Elephas maximus indicus: one gene and its partners. The protein of the gene in region 2 purifies or fractionates together with the protein of the main gene of each other region. This does not show direct contact. Links are inferred from orthologs where the notes say so. Each region holds a gene or a part of one and is shown on either strand. Other genes may lie near its edges. The genes, in order: NCBP1, EIF4G1, EIF4A2 and EIF3F.

Region 1 (6,921 bases), on a different chromosome or scaffold from region 2:
AGAAAGCCTGAAACAGTCACCCTACCTTTCTAGGCTCATCTCAGGCAACACTCCCCCTCACATACTCTGCTCGGCCACACTGGACCTTTGCCTAGTTCCACAAGCAACCCTTGCTTTCTCCTGGTTCAGGATCTTCACACACGCCTTTCCTACCACCCCAAAATGATCTCTTTCAGTTACCACCTAATTTAGTTTCATTTATTTATACACTTTAACTATTATTTGTGGACATTCTCCTGCGTGTCTAGCTATGTGCTGGAGATGAAGTTCTGAATGAAAAAGTCAAAGTCTCTACTCACTTGGACTTTATAGTTTAGAAAGGGGCAAAGGACAATAAATAAGTATACAAATAACCATAAGACCTCCAAGACTATGGCCCTAAGACACCCCTCTGACTTGGAACTGCAGCCATTCCTGGAAACCACCTTCCAGCGAAGGAATAGACAGGCCTAAAAAATAAACAATAACACCCAAAAAGAATACACTCCATAGAATAAACAATTATACAAGACCAACAGGGCAACATATGCCCCAAAAGTAAAGATGAAAGGGCAGGAAGGGGTAGGAAAACCAGATGAAAGGAAACGGGGAACCCAGGGCGGAAATGGGGAGAGCGTTGACACTGCGAGGATTGCAACCAATGTGTGGAACACTGTGTATGCGATTTGTTGAATGGGAAAATACTTTTCTCTGTAAACTTTCACCTAAAACAATAAAACATTTTAAAAAATAAACAAACGTGAATACCAGATAGTGGTAAGTGCCACTCCTTCTCAGTTTCCTTTGCTGGATCCTCCTAGTCATCCCAACCTTTAACTGTTAAACTTGCATATCTGTGCCCACTCCCCAGGTGATCTCACCTAGTCCCAAAGTCTTAACAACTACATTTGCTTCAAAATAATGGTGGAGGTTGGGGGGAAGAGCACATTAACATAGGTGAAACCAGACTGGCCTTGAGTTGATAACTGCTGAAGTTGGATGATGAGTACATGAGGGTTCATTATATAATTTTCTCTACTTCTGTAAATACATCCACTAAGAAAGAAAAATAAGAGAAACAACCAAAAATTTATGTTTAGTATACCACACATCGGAGCCCTAGTGGCGTACTGATGAAGAGCTTGGCTACTAACCAAAAGTTCTGCAGTTTGAAATCCACCAGTCGCTCCAAGGAAACCCTATTGGGCAGTTCTACTCTGTCCCATAAGGTCTCTATGAGTCAGAACTAACTTGATGGCAAGAGTTGTATCTGTTTGTTTTTTGGCTTACATATTGAATGACCCCAAATTTCTATCTCTAGCCTGTACCTCTCTCTTGAATTCCAAATTCACAGATTCAACCGTCTACTGGATAGCTTTAGCTAGATGTCTAACACGTTTTTCAAATGGAACTGTTCAAAACTGAACTCTTTATGTACTCCTCCCAACCCAAACCTGCTCTTCCCAGTCTTCCTCACCTCAGTGAAAGACAATCCTATTCTTCCTGTTACTCAGGCAAAAAACCTTTGGGATGATCCTTGAGTCTTAATTCTCTCACACTATCATCCTATTCAGAAATCATTCTGTTCAGAAAATCCTATCAGCGTTGCTTTTGAAATATAAACAGATCAGACCATTTCTCATCACCTTCATTACCACCCTAGTTCAAGTCACCATCATTTCTTGCCTGAATTATTCCAACAGCCTAATGCCCTCCTACTGTAGCAGCCAGTGTGATACCTATAAAAAATAAGTAAGATCACCCTCCAAGGCTTCTCGGTTTTTGCAGATAAAGTCCAAAGACTTTGCCATACTTCTCCCTCCCACAACCTCTCTGATCTTATTTTCTACTACTCTCCCCTTGCTTCCTATTCAGACTTCACTGGTCTTTTTGCCCATGCCTAAATGGGTCATGGGAACCCTGGTGGTGTAGTGGTTAAGTGCTATGGCTGCTTACCAAAAGGTCAGTGGTTCAAATCCACCAGGTGCTCCTTGGAAACCCTGTGGGGCAGTTCTACTCTGTCCTATAGGGTCGCTATGAGTTGGAATCGACTCGATGGCAAGGGGTATGGTACTGTACGGTAAATGGGTCATTAGAATTTTAGCTCCAAGAGAGCTGAGGTTTTCCTTTGTTCACCACTATATTCTCAGCATCTAGAACAGTCCCTGGTACATAAACCAAACCAAATAGATGTCATCGAGTTGACTCCAACACATGGCAACCCTATGAGTGTCAGAGTAGAACTATGCTCCATACGGTTTTAAATAGCTGATTTTTCAGAATGAGATCACCAGGCCTTTCTTCCAAGGCACATCTGGGTGGACTCAAACCTCCAATCTTTCAGTTAGTAGCCAAGCTCATTTACTGTTTGTACCACCCTGTGGCCATGTCTGGCACACACCCCCCCCCAAAAAAATACAGTGCCCTCGAGTGGATTCTGACTCATAGTGACCCTATAGGACAGAGTAGAACTGCCCCATAGAGTTTCCAAGGAGCACCTGGCAGATTGAACTGCCGACCCTTTGGTTAGCAGCCGTAGCACTTAACCACTACGCCACCAGGGTTTCCGTCTGCCACACAGTAAGTGCTAAATACAGTATTTGTTGAATGACTGAATGAATGAAATAAAACAGCAACGCATGATCTCGTGGCAGGGACAGCTAACTTATATTAGGTAGCCAGGGAAGATCTTACTAAGAGCCTGATGTTTGAGCTCAGACCTAAATAACAAGAAGTTAGCCACACAAAGATTTAGGAGCAGAGACCTTCTGGCAAAAGAAAAAGTTGAGTGTAAATTTCTAAAGTGGGGCCAAGCTTGACTTATTGAAGGAACGGGAATAAAGCCAGGGTGGTTGCCGCACAGTGATGAGAAGGTAGAAGAGTGTACGCCATGGTTTGCAATTCGCAGTGGAAAGTCACTGGAGAGTTTTATACAAGGAAATAGCATGGTCTGATTTACATTTTAAGAATATCTTTCCGGCTGTTCTGGGGGGAAAGGACTGCAGGCAAGGAAAGACCCACGGAGGCCAGTCGGGTTAGACATTCATCAGGGCAAGAGATGACGCTTGCAGCAAATGAAGAAAAAATGGCAGCAGTGGAGAAATGTGGACCAATTCTGGATTTGTTCTGGAAGTAGAGCCAGCAGGAGATACGGGTAGATTGTTATGCAGAAGTGAAGGAAAGAGAATTCTAGAATGACTCCAGCCTACATTTTTGGATTAAGTAAATGGATGGTGCCATTTTCTGAAATGGGTAAGCCTGAAGGAGGAATAGGTTAGGCCAGGAGGATGAAACAAGACTTCTATTTTCGATTGTGAAATTTCAGATGGCCATGGACGAGGCAGTCAGAGAAACCAGTGTGGTGCTCGGAGAGACGTCAGGGATGGAGATGTTCATATACACATACACAGTCGCCAATAGCTAGTGAAAACGATACTGAGAACGATCAACTTGTTCGTCCTTAAACCAGCCACTCGTCGAGGTGAGAGGTAAGATGACAGCCAGAGGGTGAGCCCCGGAACCGGAGGCTCGCGTCAGGGCCGCTCCTCCCATCGTAGGGGGCGACACGTGCGGCTCCGCTCCCATCCCGGCCCCACCCCGCACGGTGGGCCTGGCCTAATCTGTCCGCCCAGCGTTCCCGAGGCACAAGACGGGAAGTGGGGGTAAAATGAGCACGTACCCGCCAGTCGGATCTATTCTTGGGTCTTTCTTCACTGAACTGTGTCCGCCTAGCAATGGTCACTCACTGCACTTGGAACCTACAACCCCGGTTGTGTGTTTACGTAGGGACGAACGCTCGGACGTCACCTCGCTCCGGAAGTCTTGGTGGCCGTTAGCGAAAGGGCCGCCGGGAAAACCATTGAGAGGACCCGGGGGCGGGGCTGAAGCTGAGGCTGAGACTAGAGAGTCTGTCCCAGCCGCCCGCCGCCTACATGCCTGGCTCGCGGCCGGCGGGCTCTGACTGGCTGAAGCGGAGGCGGTTTGTGCGTGGCCCCGGAAGGACATAGAGCGACTGGCGGGAGGAGGAAGCGGCCGGGAGGCGGAGGAAGGCTGAGGGGGGTGGTTGCGTGCAGACCACACGTCGGCTCCTGGTTTGCCTCTAGACGCCGTCTCTCCCGGATCCGAGCCCGCCGAACCCTCTCGGCCGACCCTCCTTGGGTTTTCGGGAGCTGGAGCGAGCGACTGCGCCTGCGCGCCGGTGGGTCCGCGCTCCTCGCCGCTGTCCTCGCGCCGGCCGGCTGCTGGACGGTTCCTGCCGTGCCTCCTGCCCGGCGTCTCGGTTCTGAAGTGCACCGGCGTGCGGCATGTCGCGGCGGCGGCACAGCGACGAAAACGATGGTGAGTGCCTAGAGCCTGGCCGCCAGGGCGCGCTCCGGTGGGAGCCGAGGTTTGCCTTCCTTGGCTTTCGAGTCTCGAGGGAAGGAACGGCAAGCCCTTCTCTCCCGGGAGCGTTCGCGGAGCCACGGAGGATGGCGGGGCGGGGGTGTGGCTGGGCGGATTCGGGAAAGCTTCGTGCCAGCCGCAGCGCCTTTGGTCGTCGACCGATGGTGGGGAATGAGGCTTGGTGAACCCCTGGTCTATAGGGACTCTTCAGAATTTGGCCCTCGACATCATGTCTGTGCTGCCGTCTCAGAGAGCGGTACCCACTGGTACCAGGCGCTCGTTTTGATCCTCAAAGCTTTATCTGAAAATAGCTTTTTCAAGACTTTACTGAAGAAAAGGAACAAAGCAGTGACTGAGAGATCGGGTGAATTGCAGTCTGAGCTCTACTCCTCTACTGTACATCCGTTGATTTGCCTTCTTTCGAGCTGGAGAGAAGAGATTTTGTGTCTTCACCCAAGAGGTTACTCACTAATAAGCAGATGTATAGTATTGCATTAGATTTTAAGCTGACTATAAACATATTTCCATGGCATGCCGGAGAACTAGCAGGAGAGCTCTTAGAGATTTAGAGTTGGGGTTCCCGTCTTCGTTTGGGTGGTTATACTTATGGGGGTCACGTTGTGGCCGTTGTAAAAACTTAAGAATTTTACTAGTAAAAAAAAACAGCAAAAGTTGCTTACATTCACATAAGCATTATGAAAATCAGTCAAGAACACACATCCACAGACAGAAAGACATGAAAGATTAAGTCTGTTATTGATATTTGAGTGCATTATTTGCTGAAGAGGGTGTAGAGTAATGGTTGAGAGGCCAGGCTTTGGAATTGGGGGTATAGGTTACAAGCTAGACCCCACGATTTACTTTGGGGTTTTGCCCAAGTTATATAACCTTTTTTCACTCTTAATCTGTAAAATATGAACAACGCTGCTTACCTGTTCTGGTTTTTCTGAGGGTTAAATGAGATAATTCATGAAACAAATGGCTCGTAATGATTTTTTTTTTTTCTTTTTACTTTATCTGTTAAGGCTTAAGTGGTGATAAGCAGTGGCAGATGCCCACAACGTAAGGAAAAAATAAAGAACAAAAATTTTTAATTCAGTACATTTTCTTCTTGAATATTGGGGCAGTTAGAGGTGAGGACAGAATCACAAATCTGAAAATACCAGATTGCTACTAAGGTATGGCTTGAGAGGATTTTCTGGCCCAGCCTCCTCAGACACCCAAGGGTACAGAGACTTAGTGTAATTAACATGGAGACACAGCAAGAAGTGCCCAGACACCAGCTAAAGCAAGTTCAGGGCTCTCTCTACTACACAGGTGTTATTGTACTGCATGCTTTGATTTTAACACATGGAGTCTTCTTGTGTAACATGCATAAACTAATCTCAACAACTCAGTGCCGTCGAGTCTATTACGACTCATAGCAACCCTATAGGACAGAATAGAACTGCCCCATAGAGTTTCCAAGGAACATACATACAGGACACAAAAACTACAATTTTTGTGTACTTAGAATTTGACTAATCCAAAAGTATTATGTTTGAAGTCATCGCTTAGGGTTTAGAGAACATGAGTCTTTTGTTCTTCCCATTTTCTTTGTTCTTACGTGTTTCTCTACCATTCCTCTCCCTCTCCCTTCTAAGGCACCCCTAAAAGGGAGGGAAAATGAGTGTATAATTCAGTGACATTGTTTTTAACATTGGCTGGCACTAAATGACTGTACGTTTGGACCTTGCTGCAAGAACCTCAAAGTAAGTAAGTACAGACAAAAAGAAGGAAAACAAGGAATTAAGCAAAATTCACTATGGCAGATGATTTAGTAATGGAGGGACAATTTATAGTTCCTCCTTATAGTACATCAAATTGGGAACTTTGTAAATTGCTACAGTATGGGTAATGATTATTAGAGTTTACCTTAGACAGTGACCTGAATCAAATATTTTGAATGCTTTTTTAATTAAGCTTCTACTAATACTTTTAAATGACAAATATTAAAAGCTTCAATATTATAGAAGGATATTTTGGTGGCGTAGTGGTTAAGTGGTATGGCTGCTAACCAAAAGGTCAGCAGTTTGAATCCATCAGGTGCTCCTTAGGAACTCTATGGAGCAGTTCTACTCTGTCCTATAAGGTCGCTATGAGTCGGAATTGACTTGATGCAACGGGATTTTAAAAATAAACTAGGGATTGCTAAAGTCAGAATTAGATGGATATAGCTGAGCATTTCTGGATTATTATCAGCTCTCATCACCCACTGATAGCCCTGATTTTCCGTGTGTCCGGCTGGGTATAATCATTTATTCAATAAATATTTAACAGTACTGGGCACTGTTCTAAATACTGGCAGTACCTCAGTAGATAACATAATGGTAGAGCCTCCATTCTTGTATAGGGCTACAGACAGAAACGATTAGGTAAAATATCATGGAGCATATGGTGATGAATGCTTTGAAGAAAAGTAGAATTGAGTATAGGGGATAGAGACTGTGCTGTGGGGGAGAAATTACTACATTGAAACCCTCAGGAGCCTGAACTCAAAGAGACTGCCTTGTTTTCTAG
Region 2 (7,308 bases):
GGCGAGGACTGGGAGGACAAGGCCCTATGGCTTCCAGCTCCCAAGCCTCCAGCCTCACCTGTCCAGGGATGTAGTAGGCCCCCTGGGAAGCTGGGTAGGAGATCTGGGAGGGGATCATCATGACTTGGGATCCAGCAGGGTAGACATGGGCAGCTGGGCCAGGGCGGGCAGGGGCTGCGCTGGGCACTCGGGAGGCGGCACTGCTCGGGGGCTGGGCCCGGCTAGTGTAGAAGTGCTGTCAGGAGGGAGGAAGGCCGTTGGCATAGGGAAGGGGAGGAAGTGGACTGCAGGCTGGAGAGGAGCCCTGGGGGCGCCAGAGTACAGCGATCCAACTCTCCAAGACCCACTTGGCCCCCTGTACTCACACATGTCCTCTGTGTTCAGATACAGGCTTTGCACTCTGTACGTGTTTACCCTCTCACTGCCATGCACACTCACGTAACCTCCACCAGACTAGTGCTCTGCAGAAGCTTCCTAACACCCAGATGCCACACGCTGAAGGAAGGCCCTTTCAGGCAAACACTCCCCAGCATGCACCGCTCCACCCTAAGGTGCTTGAGGAGGTAACCCCTAACATGCAAGTCTCCCAATCACCAGACAGATATGCACGCACGCTGCAAAACTTAGCCACTGACATGCATTATGGGTCAGCCTTACAGTGACAGCCTGGACGACAACCAAGTCCCCACCATGAAGAGCCCCAGTCCCTGGATCTAACCCCTAACTGGGTGTACGGTGGGGTGAGGCCAGGAGGAGGTCCAGGATTAGGAAAGAAGAATTACCTGCAGAGACCTGAATCCTCCCTGAGAGCACATGGGGACAGGAAAGAAGAGAATTATCCCCAAGGTGATGAGAACAGAAAATGTGGAAGAAGTAAAGCAAAAATCTTCCCACTTAGCGAAGAAGAACTTGGGGAACAGAGGAGGGCAAGAACCACCTGGAGTGATTCTCTGGCCGCTCCAAGGAGAAAGCAGGGAAGAGGAATGTCCACCTCCCGGTAAAGAAACAGGAAAACAGGAGTTGGCACCAGGGCCCAAAGCACTGCCTCCAGTCCTCAGCAGCACCAGGTCCCCGGGAACGCCACCCCCACCGGCTGCACGCTCCCCAAGGGGCCAGCCACCTAAGGAATCAACAGCGCAAAGTGCAGGGCTGCACGGAAGAACACAGAGCAAGTGTCAGGAGCTGAGAACCAGGTACATGGCCTCCGTAGTCTCCATCTGAGACCCGAACTGGCCCGAGACTGCCACAGCTCCCCACCCAGGCCCCCTGCTCCCCTCCCCACGGCCCCTCACCTGGCGGGGCTGAGAAGGCGTGTTCATTTGTGTCACTTGTGGCGTACTGAACACCACCGGCGCTGTCTGCCCCGGGGGAAACGCTGGCTGAAGGGGGGAGACCAGAGTTCAGCAAGTGGGGAAACCCGGGTGGGGCAGAAACCCAAGCTGGTGAAGTAAGAGGGGTAAGTCTGTGGCAAGGCCTCAGCAGTCCACATCCCCCTCCCCAGGACAGCCCCTGGGAACAGCCCAGGGGCCCTGTCTCAATTTGGCAACAGGCCGTTGCACTTTGCCCTGACGCAGATGGGGGTGGGAAAATCCAGAGGTTGGAACCTGTTCCTGACCGGCTGCCTGGCCTTCCCTACACCCTTCTGGTCCTTGCTAATTCCTCAGCCTCCCTCCCTAATTACCTGTGGGAGTCCAGGGGATGGGGCGGGCGGGGGGCCTGTGGGCTGTGGCGCTTTGTTCATTTCATTTGGTGCCACATCAGGGTCCCCCCAACACCTGTTGGGAAAGAGTGGAGCTTGGAAAGAGGAAGAGACCCAAGTTTAAGGCAAGTGGAGTGGGGGAAGGGTTAAGCAAGGGATGGGTCCAAATCGGAGCCGCAGAGGCACCAAGGGAGTGAAGAAGCATTAACGACCCAGGCTGTGTGTACCCACTAACATGCTGTCAAGCCCGCATCACCGCCATCCACCCCCCTGACCTGCAGAAACGGCGCTCTCACTCACCCCCTCGGTTAAGAATAAGTCCACGGTGCGGCCTACAGGTTCTGGGCATCCGAGGGCCTGGGGTTGGGAGGTGAGGGGTATCAACCCGGCTCCGCGGGGCCCCAGACCAACCAGACCGGAAATTCCAGGTCTCGCTGGCACCAGGCTCCCGGCTCACAAACGGAGCTAGCCGCTTCGGCCGTGGCGTCCCCACCCCCCACCCGGGGACACCGGGTTCGGGGCCCGGCCCGGGGACACACAAGGCACGCCTGCCGCGAGCGGCCGCGGGGGCACCGCGCAGGCCGGAGGCGACGCCCGCCGCCGCCCAGGAGCCGAGGCCAGGAAGGGCGGGCGCCGGGCCCTAAAAGGCCTGGCGAGCGGCGGCCGAGGAAGAGCCGGTTTCAGGCAAGCGAGGGTCGGCCCGGAGGGCGGGCGCGGCCGGGGGCTCCTCCCTGCCCGCCGCCGCCGCCCTGCCTGCGCCCTCCCTGCGCAGCGCCGGCCAGTGCCAAAGAACAACGTGTCACTTCCCGGCGGCCCGGCGGCGAAGGGGGAGGGGGCGCCGGGCCGAGAAGCCGCGGTGCCGGCGGGCCGAGGGGCCTCCCCGGGCCGGCCGCGGTGGCACGTCCCGGCCAGCGAGCCCGGCGCCCTCCCAGCCCGCGGGGGCGCACATTCCGGCCCCGCGCCCCCTCGCCCCCGCCCAGCAGCCAGGCCGGGCCGCGCCGGGCACACGTGGGCCGGGGATCGCGCCTTGGAGGGCCGGGGCCCGGGCTGGGGCCGCGGGGCCGGGGCGGCGGGGCGGCGGCGCAGGGCGGCCGGTCCCGGCCCGGATGGCGGCGGATGCGGGGGGAGGGGGTGGGGGGGCCGGGTCGGGCCCGGACATGGCGGCTTTACCTTCAGTCTCCTTCAGTCCGCGCGGCCGAGCCCCACGCAGCCGCACAGACGTAGTCCACAACCATTTCCGGCTCCCCGCACAGATCCCGCTCGGTGGCCACCGCTTCTCCGCAGGCGCAGCCGGCGCCCCACGTGACCGGCGCAGGGGGAGGAGCCTCGCCCCGGCCGCAGGGCGCCGCGGAGCACATGGCTCTGTCCCGCCCCGTCACGTGACAGCCACAGCCCGCCCCCATGTCCCCTCCCGGACTGTGGAACTCCAGACGAGCTGCCTTGTGCGTCTCTGTTTGGTGGTCCTTTACTCCATTGAGACTTTACTGGGTGCCTACTAACTGCAAGGCGAAGTGCGGAGAATATGGAAATTAAGGAGTCCTAGCTAAGTAAATCATGGTGCAATATGCAAAGAAATGCGAATTATACAGTCTTTGGAGGTAATGTAGATTAGATGCTTGAAAGGCTCGTTAACAAAGGAGATTGAATGTTACCCTGAAAGGACTGAAACATTCTAACTAGGAGACTAGCAAGAGTAGATTTGTTTTATACAAAGATCAACCCCTTCCTGGGAGGGGCAAAAGTTAATCAAGGAACCCAAAAAAAACCCACTGCTGAGAATAATGACCAGAGAGTCAATCCCAAAACCCCTGCCTGGCACCAGAAAGATCTTGGAAGCCAGACGGGAGTGCCCTAGAGTGCAACTCACTTACTGGTTTTTAATCCTGATTTCACTACTTACCACGTGGCTGTCACCTACCTACCTGCTTACTACCTGAGGACTCTGGGCAAGATGTAAAATGGGGAGGTTTGAAACCAGGTGGTGTGGATCAAGTCTGAGCTTTTAACCACCATGCTTTCTCTCAATGATGACATCTACACTATTGGATTTTGAGGATTAGTTAGTACATGTGAAAGTGTTTGAAACAATGCCTAGACATTTAGCAAAGGGTCTATCTACACGGCACATATGTTACCTCAAAATAAAAACAAAAGTTGCCATCGAATCAATACCAACTCATGGCAACCTCATGTGTGCAGAGTAGAACTGTACTCCACGGGGTTTTCAAGACTGTGACCTTTCGGAAGCAGAGCCTGATATATATTGCAGGACTTGATGTAGCTAGGTGAGGGTGTCATAAAACAGCCCCCATTATCACCCCCATCAAGAAAGTACAGCTGTAGGGTGGGCATACTTAGGCACAAAGATACCCAATAGTCATTGCTTTTAAGAGAAGTAGGGCAGCAGCTCCGAAGACCAAAAGAGACACCTGGAGGAGAATAAACACACGGATCTGGTGTTCTCCGCGACGCTCATTTGCGCTCTGTGATTGTTGTCATGTAGGACTCTGCTCTCTCATTTCTCTACTTTGTCCCTAAGGAGACTCATCCATGCACTGACAAATAATTACTGCCTTCATGAGAGTGACTTCCTAACTCAGAAACCACGCTCAAACTCCAGTGACAACGAGGTACTACCTAAAAGATGTCCTTGCCTAATTGTCCCACTGGCATCTCAAATTGCGTGTGTTCAGATAGGAATTTGTCACTTCTCCCTGAATTCGTGAACAGACTCCCCCATCTCAACCCCAAACAAATATGCTCATATACGGCTTTCCAATGAATAGTGCCATAATTTAATGCCCAACCTGAAAATCTGGGCTTCATCCTACACTCCTTCCCATCGACACACTACGTTTAATCAAACACTAAGTCTTATTGATTTTATCTTTTTTGAACAAAACTTCCTTTTACCCCTACCCACCTCCCCACTTCTACTGTCCTAATTCAGGTGTCCATTTCCCTTGTCTAGTCTCTGGGCTTCCAGGGTGAGCTTTCTTACCCACATAGCTGATCATGTCACTTTCCTGCTGACATACAATGGTCCCTGTTGAGATACTGTCAATTTCTTGGCATGACAAAGCTCTTCTAAACCTGGTCTACACCTGTGTCTCCAGCTGTATCTGCTACCATACTCTTCCCTGGTCCCTGTAGACTTAGCCAAACCAAGCTATCCATGGTTTCTGAACACATACAGCTTTTCCTCCTTCCTGCTTTTGCTAATTGCTTACCTATATTTTCCTACCCTCTTTCCCCTTGGACAGACTCTTCTTTTTTCAAGTCTCAGCTTCCTCCAAGAAATTTCACCACACTCATCCAAGCACTTAGGCCCTATCCCAATGATCCCAGGGTATCTTGTTCGCCCCCAGTACGGTATTGATCACAATATATCACAATTGTTTTCATGTAATTATCCGTCTTCTTTTCCATTGTGTAAGCTTTTTAAAGATTGGATCTTTTTTTCTATCTTTGCATTCTCCAAACTAGAATAAGGTTCAATGCAGAATAAGGTTCTGTTGATATTTGTTGCTGAACAAACAGTTGAATATGAAAGGTTAAGAACCACTATGAAAATTTCTTACTCTAAAACACAGTAACCAATTTGGAAGAAAATTATCTGTAAAAATGGCATGGCAGAGGCGTCTGACTTCACAAGGGGGAAGGAGAATCAAAAATAGCCCAAGGCTGATTCCTATGAGGCAGAGGTCAAACACACCTCCACCGTCCAACCTTTTTACCAATTCTGATGACAAACGTCCCTCCCATAGCACTCCCTACTTCTCTGCTGGGTTGGATAATTCATTGCAATGGCCACACAGAACTCACAGACCATACTCAAAGTAATGGCGTTTGTTAGGGAAGTAACAGGTAGTTCAGGAAACAGTAATTCAGGATATACTTCTTTGGATCAGGACAACCTCTTCTCAGCTATGCCCACAGGCAGGCCTCTTTCTGGCCCTTGGCCCCTTAGCCTAGACCCTGCCCCGCTCAAGCAAGTGTTACAAAGCTCTTTAGCTCCACCAATAAATGCCCAGAGGCAACCCACCCCACCAAGCCTCTTGCTGGAAGGCACTTAGCTTTCTTGCTCTATGGGCCAGGTAGGTCACCAAGTAGTCCCCTGTCAGCTTTCCTGGTTCTGCTGCCTCTGCTGCCACCATTTCTCTGCCACTGCTTCTCACCATCTTGCCATCTCCAGTGTTACGGTTCTCTTTCGCTGTCTCTGGGTCTAGGAGGGTCTCAGCGCAGAGATCCCAGGTCCAAAGGATGTGTTCCACTCCCCTCTCTTCTTTTTGATGGTAGTCAGGTCCCCCTCTGTGCTCTGGGATTGCTCATTTTAAGGCTAGCAGGATGGCAAAACTGACCAATCCCCTTGTTGGGTTCCTATATACTGTATTTGCATGGTCCCATCCCCACAAGGGTGCCATATACTTATTTGTACTATTAGCAAGATGTCCAGGTCTCTTGGTGGGCCACAAGCACCTTATTTGCACAGTCCCACCCAGTCATTTGGTGGGAGTTACAAGACCATGGTGAGAAATCAAAACCAAACTCATTGCCGAAGAATCAATTCTGACTCATAGCAACCCTAGAGGACAAAGTAGAACTGCCCCATAGGGTTTCCAAGGAGTGCCTGGTGCATTCAAACTGCCAACATTTTGGTTACCAGCTGTAGCTCTTAACTACTGCACCACCAGGGTTTCTATGGTGAGAAAGGCCGTGTAAAAGTGATCAGTTGCACTGCAGGCCACCTTCTGACTTTTCTAGCCATAGTTTTCATACTTGGAGAGTAACCTCCCCCTTCCAATTATTTTGTCAGTCCAAAACAGTCATCAACAATTAGTACTTCCGTAGGGCAAAGAGGCCTCTGGGTGAGGTTACTCAGGTACCAGTCATTCAGGTCTGCTGCAGGTATCCATCTGATCTGGTCAGGTCTCCAAAAGCCATCTTGGCTTCATCTTTTCTAGCCTCTGATAAAATTTAACTGTTGATGTTGTTGTTAGGTGCCGTCGAGTCCGTTCTGTACAACAGAAGGAAACACTGCCCAGTCCTGCGCCATCCTCACAATTGTTGCTATGCTTGAGCCCATTTTTGCAGCCACTGTGTCAATCCATCTCATTGAGGGTCTTCCTCTTTTTCTCTGACTCTCTACTTTATCCAAGCATGATGTCCTTCTCCAGGGACTGATCCTTCCTAAAAACATATTCAAAGTATGTGAGACTAAGTCTTGCCATCCTTGCTTCTAAGGAGCATTTTGGCTGTTATTTCTTCCAAGACAAATTTATTTGTTCTTTTGGCAGCCCATGGTATATTCAATATTCTTCACCAACACCATACTTCAAATGCAAGTTGGAATCGACTTGACGGCGATGGGAAAAATTTAATCAACAGAAGATTATTCCCTTGCTCTGAGCCTCTCTGGAGGTATAATTCCCAATGTTCACTTCCATCATACATTTAGGTCTGCTTTACAACACCAAGTAGGAGAAACATTCAATATCCAGAGTACATGCAGATAAACATGTGACACTTTTTAAAACATTCCAGTTTCATCTTCTCTTCTTCACACCTTAACTGTCTTCCCATTCATACACATATGGCCTCATCTCATT
Region 3 (7,631 bases), about 2.5 Mb from region 2:
ATGTGTATCAATATACCCATAAGGCTAAAACTCTAAGCTAATTTACTTTTTGAACCTTGTAATGCGCTCTAAAGCCCTGGTGGTACAGTTAAGAGCTTGGCTGTTAACCAAAAGTTTGGTAGTTCAAATCCATCAGCAGCTCCTTGGAAACACTACAGGGGAGTTCTACTGTGTTCTGTAAGGTTGCTATTAGTCGGAATTGACTCAATGGCAATGGGTTTGTTTTGTTTTGTTGGGTAATGCGCTCCAGTTGAGCTGTCATTATTATGCAATTACAATGACACTTCAGATCACGTGGTTTCGTCAAGCCCTACAAAGTTCGTCAAGCGCTATAAACACACGCTGCTGTTTTTGTTGCTGCCGGTGGTTGTTTTTTTGTTTGTTTCGTTTTTCTCTCTTTTTTTAAAATTGTGCTTTAAGTGCAAATTTACAATTCAAGTCAGTTTCTCATACAAAAACTTATGCACACATTGTTATGTGACCCTAGTGCTCTCCCTACAATGTACAGCACACTCCTCCTCTTCACCCTGGATTTCTGGTGTCCATTTAACCAGCTCCTGTCCCCCTCTGCCTTCTCATCTCAGCTAGGGACAGGAGCTGCCCACATAGTCTCATTTGTCTACTTGAGCTAAGAAGCATGCTCCTCGCCAGAATCATTTTATCTAGTCTTCATCTGAAGAGTTGGCTTTGGGAATAGTTTTAGTTTGGGGCTAACAGAGAGTCCGGGGGCCATGTTCTCTGGGGTCCCTCCAGTCTCAGTCAGACCATTAAGTCTGGTCTTTTTACTAGAATTTGAGCTCTGCATCCCACTTTTCTCTTGCTCCATCAAGGATTCTCTGTTGTGTTCCCTGTCAGGCCAGTCATTGGTGGTAGTCAGGCACCACCTAATTCTTCTGGTCTCAGGCTGCTGGAGCCTCTCATTTATGTGGCCCTTTCTGTCTCTTGGGTTCTTATTTTCCTTGTGTCTTTGGTGTTCTTCGTTCTCCTTTGCTCCAGGTGTGTTGGGACCAATTGATGCAGCTTAGATGGCCGCTTGTTAGCTTTTAAGACTCCAGATGCCACTCACTTGCTGCCGGTGTTTTTATAGTCACTGAATTTGTCAAATTTTCTGGTGTTTTAGCTGCAATATTGCAGTAATTAGGGGCCCTGTGGCTTAGTGGTTAAAGAGCTTGGCTACTAACCAAACGGTCAGCAGTTCAAATCCACCAGTGGCTCCTTAGAAACCCTATGGGGGAGTTCTACCCTGTCCCGTAAGGTTGCTGTGAGTTGGAGTCAACTCTATGGCACTGGATTTGTTTTTGGTTTATAGTGGTAATTAGTATTTGTGAACCTATGTCAATAACTTTTTTGAGAATGAAGTAGTAATGAAAGGAGAAAAAGGAGAGAAATACAGGAATTAAGATTTACAAGTGACTTTGGTAAAAAGACATTACTAAGGCTTCTGTATGGTCTAGTACAGGAGGAGGTCCCTGGGGGAGGGGGTGACACCATGAGTCACCACACTGGGTGACACCAACCCTAGCGATGCTAAGACATGACTAGAACCATACAGCCATTTTTCTTAACCTCAAGACAGCCCCTCACCCAGCCCATTTCCTAGAGTTCTTTCTTTTCCTCCTCGAACTTCTTTAAAGAGACAGCCACCAGTTAGCCAGAATCGGCTAAAACAGGTCCTGCCCTCCATCCTGGCATTCCAGATGATACTCAGTCAGCTCATTAACTGCTTTATGCACGGTGGGTGGAGAGCTGACATACTAATGAACAAAAATGACTCAGTTCCTCCTGTGCGGGGAATTGAACCCGGGCCTTAGAAAATGTTTACTCATTCTAAAGCGTTCTGTACCTGCATGGGTGCGTGCCGTTTTGTATTTTGAAACTGATCCTGCCTGTATAAACCAACCTCAACAAGCTGCCTGGGACGCAGCAGCCCCGTCTTATTCTTGACTCTCCTTCTTACCTCTTTTAAGATTTTGTTATTGTTTTTTCCTGTATTAGCAACACATCTGTACTAATTCCTTGGCCCTCTGGTGAATATTGGCTTATAATTGCTGAATGGACCAAAGGCATACAAATGCTAGATGGGGTTAGAATTGTCTATGGAGGCTACTGAAGAGCAAAACTAAACCAGGTGGCTCACATTGGGAAAGAATCTTTGGTTTTTAGCATCATTTGTTCTATAAATGATCTCACACACTCTAGGTTGGCACAGAAGCATTTGTAGTTGGCTTTGAGGTAAGTGCAAAAGTTCAACTTTCAGGGAGGATAAAATGCAGATGTGGTAAGCACAACATTTTTAGAAATATATTATAGGGTTGCAGGCAATGTGAGCCTGGTATTGACTCTATCATGAAGCTTTCTTGCCTTGAAACTCCTTCAGCACTTGTCACCTGAACCCTAGGGTTTGCCATACCATACCAGCTTCCATGGAGTTGACTCCAACTCATGGTGACCCTATGTGTGTCAGACTAGAACTGCGCTCCACAGGGTTTTCAATGGCTGATTTTTCAGAAGCAGATTGCTAGGCCTGTCTTCTGAGGCACTTTTGGATAGACTCGAGCCTCTGACCTTTGGTTAACAGCCGAAGCATTTGTACCACCCAGGGACTCCACCCTAGGTTTGTTGTTAGTTGCCATCAAGTCGATTCCAAGTCATGGAGACCCCAACTGTGCAGATTAGAACTCCATAGGATTTTCAAGGCTGTGACCTATCAGAAGTAGGTCGCCAGGTCTGTATTCAAGGAGCTTCAAACCTTTCAGCTACTTGTCAAGTGCTTAACCATTAGCACCACATTTAGCCCTTGATTCCTACCTTTTAAGAGACCTTTGGAAATCCCCCAAAGCATCTAGCAATAGTGCTAAATCTAATGAAAACACTCAACAATTAAGTATAAATTGCTGATTGATTTTGCCCTAAGATTCAAGTGAGCGCTGGCCACTGTTTTTTTTTTTTAAACATTTTCTTCAGTTTCTTAGATCCCAATTTTTTTTTCAGTAGACTTTGGATGAGACAATAAGAATCTCTGACCACCATGTTCAGAAACGTCTGGCATCACCTCACATCTGGATTTGAACATTGCAGGGGGGCGGATGAGGAGCAGTGTTACTAAACTGAGGGCCAGGTCAACTTTGTCATCTTGGTATTTTAACTTTTGTCACAGTTTCTGCCACAATAAGAACGAACAAATTTACCCCCATTAGGCTGTTGCCATCAACTTGATCCCCACTCAAAGCGACTCCATAGGACAGAGTAAAAGAGCTCCATAAGGTTTCCAAGAAGCACTTGGTGGATTCGAACTGCTCACCTTTTGGTAAGCGGCTGAAATCTTAACCACTAGTGTTTCCAAATTATCAAATAGTTCTCTTAAAAAAAAAAAAAAAAGTACTACTATAGTCAAACTTCTTCTATAATGTAGGAAATCGGTAAGATTTTTTCCAGTAGTCAGACTTCAGGCTGCTCTCCTGACTTTAGAAAATGTCTTCCTGGGTATTAGTGATGATACCCTGCAGTGTGGGTAGAAGAACTGTACCTTAAAGTTAAATGACTATATTGTTTTTTTAATTTTTATCACTGGGGCTGGGTTGGGGCTACCGTGGAAAATCTTTGGTGCTTAAAGAATCCTGCGGGTTGCTTAAGCAGCAAAGGTTGTATTGCTCTCAATTTCAATAAATCAACGTTTATTATATCCAGGCAATTAAAATTTAAGACTTTTGGAAAAAAACGACCAATATAAACGGGAACCAAAACCTATCCAGTTCCAAAGCGGTCTGGAGCTGTACACGCCGGAAGCGTCCATCTATTTAGGTTCCTGTGTTATAAGGAAAAATTCTCTTCCTTAACTTTTATCCATTTGCAAAAGTTTATAATGCTAATTGCAACTATGAAGTAAACCTGTTAGGTTAGGTTAAAATTATTAGCATTAATTTTAAGAGAGCAAGAGGAAACCAGAAGCAACCTGAGAACAGACTTGGCTATTCCAGGGACGCTTTCCAAGGACACTATACATTTTTTCCCCCTCGTCCTGTAAAATGTACCGATGAAACGGGTTTTCTGGGACGTGCTGGGTGGCCGACTTTTTCCCTAGCAGGACCTTCACAAGTTCATGACCTGAACGGACGTTATAACGTTTGGGCTAAGGACAAGGCGGCTCTTTAGCGTCAAGTTCAATGGCGGTGCGGACAGGCGGAAACGCCCGACTCCCCTAGGTGCAGCATGCGGACGTCGCGCACTCTGCATCCGAGGGCGGGCAGCGGTCGGAGAGTCGGGCCCCACAGGCTTCGGGAGGCCGGGCCGCCCGGGGAGCAACGCGCTTCCGCCTCCCGTCCGCCCGCTCGCTCCCAGGGCCCGCCTCTGCGTCAGGGACGCGGAAACCCCGTAGGAGCAGGGCGGGCGGAGAAGGCGGTTCTCGGCGGCCTCTTGCTGCAATATTCTTCCGCCGCAAAGCAAAGAGTCCCAGCCGGTCCCCGGGCTCCGGGGACTTCCGGCGCTCCTGAAATATCGAGGAATTATCACATTTAGATTTTCCCATCAACTTGCACCGGGTTTTATGTGAGGGAACGACCTCAGGGTTAAAACTGGGGGGGCCGAGCGAAGAGCAAGCGGAAATTCCTCCGCAGGAAACGGGTTCCGGCTGCGAGCATATAAAAAACGGGTGGCGCGGGCCCGCTGTCTTTTCAGTCGGGCGCTGAGTGGGTTTTTGGACATGTCTGGTGGCTCCGCGGACTACAACAGGTATGGCGCTTTCTCGGTGGTAGTATTTTGTGGTGAAGGTCGTGTGGCGCCAGAGATGGTGGTAGTAGGTGGCACGGAGGCAAGACACTCCGGATTCATTGGCGTTTCCTTGTGGGGTACAGCAGCACCCTCGTGCCGTTCGAGAAACTTCCATGGTGGGTAGTGCCCCAGATTGCGGGGAGACCGGGCAGGGGTATTAAGAGGACTGGTTAAAGGGCGTCTTTTCTCGAGGAGCTGGCGGTCGCCGCCGGTCCCAGGCGGAGCACGGCAGGCATTTAGCGGTGGCGCAGTGTGCGTTCGGTACGGGGTGGCGGGGTCCCGGAGGTTTACGCGCGGATAGAGGCCCAGGGGTGGGGTGGGGTGGGGGAGGGTGGTCGCGGTCCGGGCCGGCGGGACCGAGCGGACGGGGGTCCCGGCGAGCCGTTGGCAGAGCCTGGCGGGGCCGCGTCAATCGGCCGGCTTGCGCAGTGCGGGGGGCGGAGCTCCGGAGCTCTCGCGAGAAGCGGCGCCGCCGAGACGGGAGCGGCGGGCGCTGGGCCTGGGAACGGGGCCGCCGTTCCCGGCGCCCGGCCCTCAGCCCGCGGGGAAGGGGCACAGGACGATGTGTGCTCGCACGCGGGTCTTCATTGGCTCTGGGCGGAAACGCACACGTGCCAAACCCTAACCCGTTGCCGTCGGGTTTGTTCCGAGTCATAGCGATCCTCTAGGACAGTAGAACTGCCCCATAGGGTTTCCAGGGAGCGCCTGGTGGTTTCAAACTACCGACCTTTTGGTTAGCAGCCGAGCGCTTAGCTACCGCGCTGCCTGGGCTCTATTTTATCCGAAAGGGTTAGAAGAAGGTGGCTTGGTAAAGGGATGGTGTCTAACTGCACAATTCTCGTCGGCAGAGAACATGGCGGCCCTGAGGGAATGGACCCCGATGGTGTCATTGAGGTAAGAAATGTGTGTGGGTTTTGAAACTCTGGGCAGATGAGACTGGTGCTCCTATTTACTGTTTTTTTTTTTTTTTAAAACAGAGCAACTGGAATGAAATTGTGGATAACTTTGATGATATGAATTTAAAGGAGTCTCTTCTGCGGGGTATCTATGCTTATGGTTTTGAGAAGCCTTCAGCTATTCAGCAGAGAGCTATTATTCCTTGTATTAAAGGTAAAAGAAAACCCGTTGGCCTTAGAAAACGAATTCATTGTGCTGCAGGCCTGGACCGTGAAAGGGAAATAAAATAACCTCTGGGGGACTAGCACCTATTTGTATTCCTTAAAGTGAAATGATGGCAATCATCTTTCGGGACTGACCTGAAATGAAGAGAATACTCATTGCTGATCACTTAATTATTTGGGCATAATTCGTGTTCCAAAAGGAATACATGGTGTGAACTAGAAGTGACGGTTTGATGTGGGATCGGTAAATATGTATCCTACTTTTTTTAGGGTATGATGTGATTGCTCAAGCTCAGTCAGGTACTGGCAAGACAGCCACATTTGCTATTTCCATCCTGCAACAGTTGGAGATTGAGTTCAAGGAGACCCAAGCACTAGTATTGGCCCCCACCAGAGAACTGGCTCAACAGGTATTGATAGTGTAGTTCAAAAACTGCTTGCGTGTTGCATAGGTTTCAGGTTTCACAACTGAAGGATTTAACTTAGTGTAAATTGGTCCTATCAGAGCCTTCCTTTTAACTGACCATGCATGCAGGGAGTTTTATAGGTAGTTAAACAGGAACTGGGTATGCAGATGATTGTTTCTCAACGTACTGAGAAACCAGAAATTTCTTCAGAGTTCACTAGATAAATGCCCGTTTTTAAGTTTGAATGCAGTTGTGCAACATGAAAACTGCAGTGTCATGTTAACATTCGACTGTCTTGGTAGATTGTGATGCATCTCTTGTATGCTGTTTTCAAAGCTCAATTGTATTGGCCTTGAGGTAAATCTTCCTAAATAAAAATAAGCTTTATTAAGGTCAAGATCACAAGCCACAGTATACACCACGGGAAATTTAAAAACCGTTAACAGTTTTCCTTAGTTGTGTTAACAGCTTGTTTCATTGTTTACACTTTCCTACACATTGAAGAATAGGGAATATCTTTGGTACACTTAGCTGATACTTGAAGGGAGACAGAACCCCAAGTTTGACAAGGTACAAACGTGAGACATTTTAAGGAAATTTTATCTTGAAGCAGTTCGTAAAGTCTGCATTTTAAGCTTGGGAAGTAGTTAATGTGCTGTGCATGCGTAAAAGCTGTTTGCAGACCACATATTTGGCCTTGTTTTGGAAGTTTTTCGATAGAGCCTGTAATTCAGTAGGATAATAATTGAGGCTTCTGGTTTTTAGATCCAAAAGGTAATTCTGGCACTTGGAGACTATATGGGAGCAACTTGTCATGCCTGCATTGGTGGAACTAATGTTCGGAATGAAATGCAAAAACTGCAGGCTGAAGCACCACATATTGTTGTTGGTACTCCAGGGAGAGTATTTGATATGTTAAACAGGCGGTATCTTTGTAAGTATTGACCTTTTCTTAGAGCATAATTGGAGTTTGCTATTGATAAATTGGAAACCCTGGTGGCGGAGTGGTTAAGTGCTGCGGCTGCTAACCCAAGGGTCGCAGTTCGAATCCACCAGGTGCTGCTTGGAAACTCTATAGGGCAGTTTTACCCTGTCCTATAGGGTTGCTATGCGTCGGAATCAACTCGACGGCACTGGGTTTGGTTTTTGGTTTATTGATAAATTGAATAGGGAAGTCAAATTGTATCCAGGAGAATCCAGAAATGATAGTATAACATTGTTTTTGACAGCTCCAAAATGGATCAAAATGTTTGTTTTGGATGAAGCGGATGAAATGTTGAGCCGAGGGTTTAAGGATCAAATCTATGAGATTTTTCAAAAATTAAATACAAGTATT
Region 4 (7,806 bases), on a different chromosome or scaffold from region 2:
ATCTTTTTGGGAACATTATTCCATCTATTGCAAATAATACTGCAATAAACACAGGTGTGCATAAAGCTATTTGTGTGATGGCTCTTAACACTCTAGTGTTTCACACTTCTTATATTTGCTGGAATGCCCAGCTCAAAATCCATCTTTTCTGTAAATCCTTTCCCAACCTTCCAAGATAGTCTCCTGTACTTCCACAGCACTTCGAACACCCTTCTATCAGATCACTCATCACGTTACATTCTTATTATTTGTATATAAGACTATTTGTCCATCTTAAGTTTAAGGTTAGAGTACAGCTCATTTTCTCAAACTTTGAATTCTAAGTATCTAACAGTTTCCAGTACTCAAAAGGCACTCGTAACTTCACTTAAACAAATGAAATATGTTTCTTGAATGAACGTGTACCTGGGAAAATTCCAAGTTTCTTACAGGCAGGATCTATGCTTTGTCCTTGTATAAGCACTGCCCCTATAACACTTTGTGCTATACCGCGATCTCCATCTGGAAGGGGACCTTCCAGAGGATTGCTGTGATATTTGGGGCACTAAGCATAAACCAGGAAGCCCTGGTGATGCAACAGTGAAAGCACTTGGCTGCTAACCAAAAGGTTCGAATCCACCAGCTACTCCATGGAAGAAACATGTGGCAGTCTGCTTCCACAAAGATTTCAGCCTTAGAAACTCTGTGGGGCAGTTCTACTCTGCCCTATAGGGTTGCTATGAGTCAGAATCAACTTGACGGCAATTTTTTTTTTTAAGCATAAACTTTGGTTAAATAGTTCCACAAAGTTCAGAAACCTTGACAGTGTAGCTGAAGGAGTAAGTCAGTGTTTGTTGACTACCAAATCAGTGATGCAAAAATCATTTGTTACAGGACCTCAAAGCAGGGCACAGTCAAAGAATGTGCTCATGGTTAGAGAGGTTAAGAATGGGCTGAGGATGTGGTATGAGGTGGAGGACTGGTACTGGACATTTGCCCTGGGAACCTGGCAGATGGGTACAACTTTAAAAAACAACTGAGGCACAGCAGGGATGGCATTTCTGACAAGGAGAATATAAACGTAAAGGCTTGGTTTGAGAAAAGCCATAGCTATGTTTGGAAGCCAATTGTTTAGTTTCTGTAAATACCAAGTGCTACACCCACAAAGATAAAAAGGAGAACTTGTGTGTGTGTGCTTTGGTGGTGCAGTGGGTGGTTTGAACCCACCACCCACCCTACGGGAGAAAAATGTGGCAGTCTGCTTCCACAGCCTTGGAAACTCTATGGGGCAGTTCTACTATTCTACAGGGTTGCTATGAGTTGGAATGGACTCGCTGGCAATGAGTTCAGGCCTGATTTGGTAAAGCTGTTTTGCATCTAATGTATACCAGAACTGAGTTAGATGCTTTCTGTAATAACTTAGTTCTCACAAACACTAAGTCTAAAGTAGCCCTCAAAAGAACTAACTTTGGGTAATTTGCCTCAAGGCACATGGCTAACATTTGGTGGTGTCTGCATACAAATCTTGTCCTCACACCTTAGAAGACAATGTATTGTCTTCTAAGGTGTAAGGACTACTACATTTTCAAGAGTAAGAAAGAGAAATGATGCACGGGACTGGAGTGGGTCCGCAAAGATGTCTAAAGCCTGCGATAAAATGGAGTGAAAATCAATCTCGTGGGACCAGTAGTCCCCAAAGAAAGACATTTATTATTAACAATACATCTTCAGTGATTTTAAGTTTTAAAATGACTTTAACATAAAACATCTATTCTCCAAACTTGGAACACGGGCAGGGAAAAGACTATTCTTTGATTTGAAGGTCAGAGTCAATCATAAACAGATTAATACAATGGTTTTTATCCAAATAGAGAATCAGAGACAGCATTGGGAAAACGGTTTATCATATCAGAGATGGTGTTGAGGCAGACTCAGGGTTTAGGAAGACAGAATACTATAAAACCTTCAACAGGCTCCAGCCAAACTGGTTTACTTGTTAGGAAGAGTATCTTTTTATAGATGCCTCCACTCCTTGGCCAGCTGGTTAGAAACTTCTTTGTAAAAATTTGGAAAATAGAGACATTTAGACAGTGGATTAAAAAAAAAAAAAGCCGTTGTTATTAAGTCGGTTCCGATTTATAACGACCCTACAGAACAGAGAATTGCCCACTGGGTTTCCAAGGAGCGGCTGGTGGATTCGAACTGCTGATCTTTTGGTTTAACGAACGTTTAACCACTGCGTCACCAGGGCTCCAGTCAGTGGTAAAGGAGGGAAACTTGGTCACTGTGCTTAGGGAATCAAGAGTCCTAGTTCCAACTTAATCACTTGCCAGTCGGCATATGAGCATATAAGCTCACTTTTGGTAGAATGGAGGTTATCATACTTGACGTGAAATGGTGTTGGAAATAAAATGTAAATCACTTGGTACCCAATATTTATCAGTAAATAATAACTATCTATTATATGTGAGATGCAGAAACAAGCAAAAAGTGGGGGTGGGAGGAGGGGGCAGCAGGACGCCAGAGACGAAAGGGTTATGAGAAGGGGGAGCGATACATGGGAGGTGGGCGGTAGGAAAAAAGAACGTCGGTATTATCTCACCACTCACCCAGCAGGGTCCCGATTACTCGGGCAGCGCCCTCATTGCGTCGCTCATAGCTGTCCACGATGGAGGCTAAAATGACCGGGTGTAGCCGGACCACGCGGCCGCCGGGGAAGGGCCCTGGGAGAGCTGGACCAGGCGGCGGCGGCGGCGCCGAGGTCTGCGCTGGGGCTTGCACTGAGGCCGAGCTCTGCGCCGAGGCCGAGGTTGTAGCCGCTGCTGACGCCGGGTCTGAGGATGAGGCGGGGGCAGAAGCAGGAGCCGGGACCGGTGCGGAAGCGGGAGCCGGAGCCGGAGCCGGAGCAGCGGCTGGACTTGGGGCTGGGGCTGGGGCTGGAGCCGACTCCGTAGCCGGTGCTGGGGATGGAGTGGCGGGAGGAGCACTCGTTGGTGAAGGCGGTGTGGCCATCTTGTCGAAAGAGAAGAAGCCAAGAGCGGAAAGGAGTGACTTAGTGAATTTTACGACTTTGATAGGCTAAATATGCACCACGTGAACTGTATCTTTCCACCTATTGGTTACTGATGGTGCTTCTCGGGGCACGAAAATTTCCTGCTCTGTTTGTAATTTCTTCCGGAGTTTGTGTGACTGCTTTCGGTCCGATGAGCACGTCATAAGAACCACGGTAAATAGTTCCGGGTAAATTTAAGACCGCGCTGGGAGATTAAAAATAACTCCACTCAGTTTGCCCATGTGCCGCCAGGTGGAGCCAGAGAGCAGCGCAAGGTCGCAGTTCGTGTTTTCATTCTTAAATGGGAAAATGGATGTCAAAGTTCCATTAATAGGGCTTTGTTCTTGACCAGATCATAAAGTGTCAATAGGGTGGTTCATTCTTTCAACAATTTGAGTGCCTACTATGTTTCAAACGCTCTTTTAGGGGCTTTGGATTTATCAGTGGACAAAGATCCTTGAATAGCTTACATTCTAGCATGGAAAAAAAAACTCAAAAAGGAAGATAAATAACTAATGCAGTTGTTGTTAGGTGCCCTTAGGGGTCAGCTTTCTCACTCTGTCGGCTCCAGAGGAAGATTTCTTGTCATCAATCTTCTCCTGGTCAAGGAGCTTCTCAGGCACAGGGACCCCATGTCCAAAGGATGTGCCCTGCTCCTGTTGCTGCTTTCTTGGTAATATGAGGTCCCCAGCTCTCTGCTTGCTTCCCTTTCTTTTTATCTCTTGAGAGATAAAAGGGGCCACACCCCAGGGAAACTCCCTTTACCTTGGATCAGGGAGGTGACCTGATTAAGGCTGGTATTACAATCCCACCCTAATCCTCTCAACATAAAATTACAATCACAAAGTGGAGGACAACCACACAATACTGGGAATCATGGCCTAACCAAGTTGATACACACATTTTTGGGGGGTCATAATTCAATCCATGACAGGCATGTCTACTTTGTCCTGTAGGGTCACTATGAGTCAGAGTTGACTCGATGGCTACAGATTTGGTTTGGGGTTTTATTATCATTACTATAACTATGGGGAGGAACCCTGGTCCTAGCTTTCTGTGTGACTTTGGACAAGCTTCAATTTTTTTTTTTTTTCAGAGCCTCAGTTCCTTTCTGGTATAATGGGGATGATAGCTCGGCTGCTAACCAAAAAGTCAGCAGCTTGAATCCACCAGCCCATTCTTGGAAATCCTATGGGGCAGTTCTGCTTGGTCCTGTAGGGTCGCTGTGAGTCGGAATCGACTCGATGTTAACCGGTTTGGTTTGGAACATCTGTCTATACCGAAACCTGTAAACTCCTAAGTTAGGTTAAGTCCCAGCTAATCCAGCTGGCAAGGTGGGTGGATGAGGTTGGATTTCCTACCTCTGACTTTTATGCCCAAGACTCGCTTTCCCCTTGAGGTTACCATCCGTAATTAGAATTGTTATACCTGCTTCTGTCATGCTCTGTGTCAACACACATTCCTTCTCTGAATTCCCCAAAACACAGGTTAATAGCCCACCAGAGGTGGACTGAAAAGTGGCTTTTGTTTTTGATAACCTGATGTCTTTAGCAACCCCAGTAGAAAACTGGTCAGTGGAATTGGGTGGGAGGGGGACATATAAACCAGAATTCAGGTGTGAAAGAATGGTGAGTTTGAGGTGAAGGGTGTGTGTGCTGGCTATCTTTTCAAGGAAGTTGCCTGGGAAGAAAAAGAGACATTTAAGGAACAGCAGGGTTGAGAGGGGACAATTGAGGCCAGAAGAGTTTTAAGTGTACTTTAAATTGCAGGTAAAGATCTGAAAGAAAGAGAAAGATTGAATATATAAGAGTCAGCGGCAATATCTAATGAAATAAGGGAGGAAGGAGGGCCTGGATTGAGAAGCCTTGATGAGTGGGATGGCTTTACAAAGGATGAGGGGCATGCAGGAGAGGCTGCCCTGGCCTGTTGGCCTCTCTTATGGTGCCTAGTGGCGGGGGGTGGGGGGGTGGGGGGGTGGGGGGGGAGGGGATCTACCTAGGCCAGGGCTGGTTCCCTGACATCATCTCATGGGTCAAGGCCAGAGGAGACAACCAGCCCAAATGAGGTGTTACTGCCCCAAACTGAGCACTCACACCCGTGGGACCGCCTGTCAACGAGTTCATTTGACTTGGATGTGGATACTTCACCTTCAAGAACTCACTTTTGCCTTTATATCAATGACCATAGGACCTTTCTCTCTGGAGGGGGAAGGAGATGATGAAGAATCAGATAAATTTTGAGCTGGGGAGAGCAGAGAAGTAGTGGGGGGCTCCTCTCAAATGCCATCCCCCCCCTCCCAGGGAAGTGGAAGCAAGGTGATCTATTGAGAATGGCAATGCCAGAGCAGGGTTTAGGCTTGGAGGAATGGGCAGTGTTTGGAAGACGGGCTGAGGGTGAGCCATTAAAAGCCATACAAGGCATTGACGATTATGGGAGGGCTGCTGAGCCTGGAGAGCTCAAGTTGTACAAGGACCAGCTGGCCGACTTTCGTGATTTCTTTCCAGCAGCCATGTAGCCCAGGGGCAGGAGGAGATCATTGGCATTGTCTTTCCACAGGAGACAATTGGCAAGGATCAGGGAGTGTGTAGACACAGGCTACTGGCTTTCCAATGGCTGAGTGAGGGATCCAGGAAGGCTGCTCCCTGTGAACTGAAAGCTTGGGAGCCTCAAATTTTTCAGGTAAAGGGTGGAAGGAGTGGGGAGAGAGAACAATGGACTATCCCCCTTTTATATAGAATGTGTTGTACAGGGATTGCTCTAGGTTTCTGGTTGCTTGGGTACACGCTTAATGGTTCTGCCTGAAAAGACCAGGGTCATACTGCCTGCCTCATGATAAGACTGCGGCCTGTAGCTTGATAAACTTATCCCATCCTCTAGATCACTAACTGAAGTGAAAGGAGCTGGAGCTACAGCTCAGATTAAGGGAGGACAACAAGGGAGAGCCCCAGGCTATCTCAAGTCTGTAGCAAGCGAGAAAAACAAACAAACCTATTGCCGTCCAGTCGATTCTGACTTATAGTGACCTTATAGTCAGTTCTACAGTGCAGAACTGCCCCAAAGGGTTTCCAAGACTATAACCTTCACAGAGGCAGGCTACTACATCTTTCTCCTGCGGAGCAGTTGGTGGGTTCAAACTCCCTACCTTTAGGTTAGCAGCCAAATGCTTAACCACTTCGCCACCAGGGCTCTTTCGACAATAGCTGTTGGGGCCTAATTTGGGGAAGCTTTCCTCCTGAGAAAGTTTGCTTGATTTTTTTTCTGACGGGATTGGGGTGGCAGTGAGGTCATTTCAGGCTTTTTGGAAGATTTTGACTTAGAAATGGTGGTCATGCTTAGCTTCCCCATGCTTTTTAATGCTAATTGACTTTTAAAACTCTAAGCATGTTTGATAAAATAAAAGTTCAACAAAGAAAGAATGCGGCTAAGGAAGTAGAGGTAACACGTATAGACAAATCTTGCCAAAGCATGGCAGTAGAGAGGGAATGAGGTGACATGAGAAATGCAGGGTCAAGAGAAGGTTTCCTTTGTTTGAACATGGGAGGGAGTAGAATATATTTGAATGCTGTGGAAAGAGATCCAATAAAGGTGACACAGAGAGTAATTCCCTGCTCCAACCTTTCCCACTACCCACTAGTCCCTCTTCCCTGAGGGTGACTTCTCAGAAATCTACTTTAGATTTCTTTTCTTACATCTTTCCATTTCTAAACAGTGTATGTATACTGCTACCTTTTGATTAACCAGTTTTAGGTGTTATCTAGGGACTGCCTATTCCAGCCCACAAGCATTTAACTCTTCCATCACCATCCTTTCAATATGGTTATGTTACCATTTTAGTTAGATTGATACTCAGTGGTTACATCATTATTCCTATGTAAACATTATTCACACCTGAGTATTGTCATTTACTATTATGTTTCCTTTCGTTTTGCTTTTCTCAGAGTTAGTAATTCCTTATTTTAGTTCCATTTGTCTAGTTTTGTTGGTGTTACCATAAATCACAGATTCGAGCGGCCTGCTGCAAAGCCAATACTGAGACAGGAGGGAGGTCAACAGCAAGAGGGCTTTACTGAATACCGGTATCCAAGAAACAGAGGGGATAGTTTACTCCTAAATTCTGTCTGTCTCGAAAGAGACAGCTGGGCGGTTTTATAGGGAAAGAAAAGCTAAGTCCAAGGAATCTGGAGAATTTTTAATTCCCCTTTGAGGTGGTCTTGCAAATCACCTTCCAGACGTGATGATCTTTTCCAGGTATTCTTAGGGTCCCTTCTGGAGTCATTGAAGTTTGGTCTTCTAACATCACTGTCTTCTGACTCCTCGGTTCCCAGATCCTATCACTTGTTTTTCATGTTGAGAGAGAACACGCAGGTTAATCTTAAGCCTATACAGTGCTGAGAGAGAACAATCAGAAAAGAATCGCAAGGCGTGCTATAGCTCACAGGGGTTTCATCAGTTCCCGTAAACATTAACTTTTCTACCATCTGGATGTTCAAGCAATATTTTCCCACTTCATTGGCACTTATTGCCAGTTTTTCCCACAGTCTTCCAATAGCTCTAGTACAATTTTTCGGGTCAATCATAATAGTTGATCTATGAATCCTTTTCTTTTTTTCCCCCTTGGAGATATTCTTTCTGGAGAAATCCATTCCCTGTCAGAGACTTCAGAGCTCTCAGCTCTCTAGACGAGCTGCCTTCTAGGACTGTTTTTTCCTTGTTTGGATTCCTATTTCATGGATCTTGAGTCTTCCTCCTTCTTTTGTTCTGGTGGAGGGCATCCT

Evidence for each region.
Region 1: the proteins of EIF4G1 (region 2) and NCBP1 purify together in Homo sapiens (affinity purification with western blotting; 3 studies listed by BioGRID and IntAct, with this or other methods). This does not show direct contact. The link is inferred for Elephas maximus indicus from reciprocal best matches to the Homo sapiens genes EIF4G1 and NCBP1.
Region 3: the proteins of EIF4G1 (region 2) and EIF4A2 purify together in Homo sapiens (affinity purification with mass spectrometry; 6 studies listed by BioGRID and IntAct, with this or other methods). This does not show direct contact. The link is inferred for Elephas maximus indicus from reciprocal best matches to the Homo sapiens genes EIF4G1 and EIF4A2.
Region 4: the proteins of EIF4G1 (region 2) and EIF3F purify together in Homo sapiens (affinity purification with mass spectrometry; 3 studies listed by BioGRID, with this or other methods). This does not show direct contact. The link is inferred for Elephas maximus indicus from reciprocal best matches to the Homo sapiens genes EIF4G1 and EIF3F.

The regions. Positions count from the first base shown.
Region 1 is NC_064827.1:47,538,662-47,545,582, forward strand, and holds the start of NCBP1 (nuclear cap-binding protein subunit 1), read left to right. Parts: upstream 1-3,915; 5' UTR 3,916-4,283; coding exon 4,284-4,317; intron 4,318-6,921. UniProt on the Homo sapiens protein: Component of the cap-binding complex (CBC), which binds cotranscriptionally to the 5'-cap of pre-mRNAs and is involved in various processes such as pre-mRNA splicing, translation regulation, nonsense-mediated mRNA decay, RNA-mediated gene silencing (RNAi) by microRNAs (miRNAs) and mRNA export.
Region 2 is NC_064819.1:30,774,630-30,781,937, forward strand, and holds the start of EIF4G1 (eukaryotic translation initiation factor 4 gamma 1), read right to left. Parts: upstream 3,001-7,308; 5' UTR 2,870-3,000; intron 2,584-2,869; exon of another isoform or gene 2,000-2,583; intron 1,776-1,999; 5' UTR 1,742-1,775; coding exon 1,682-1,741; intron 1,380-1,681; coding exon 1,293-1,379; intron 236-1,292; coding exon 59-235; intron 1-58.
Region 3 is NC_064819.1:28,258,284-28,265,914, reverse strand, and holds the start of EIF4A2 (eukaryotic initiation factor 4A-II), read left to right. Parts: upstream 1-4,621; 5' UTR 4,622-4,699; coding exon 4,700-4,728; intron 4,729-5,615; coding exon 5,616-5,661; intron 5,662-5,744; coding exon 5,745-5,877; intron 5,878-5,988; exon of another isoform or gene 5,989-6,057; intron 6,058-6,158; coding exon 6,159-6,298; intron 6,299-7,060; coding exon 7,061-7,229; intron 7,230-7,524; coding exon 7,525-7,631. UniProt on the Homo sapiens protein: ATP-dependent RNA helicase which is a subunit of the eIF4F complex involved in cap recognition and is required for mRNA binding to ribosome.
Region 4 is NC_064825.1:63,220,211-63,228,016, reverse strand, and holds the start of EIF3F (eukaryotic translation initiation factor 3 subunit F), read right to left. Parts: upstream 3,010-7,806; 5' UTR 2,992-3,009; coding exon 2,589-2,991; intron 1-2,588. UniProt on the Homo sapiens protein: Component of the eukaryotic translation initiation factor 3 (eIF-3) complex, which is required for several steps in the initiation of protein synthesis.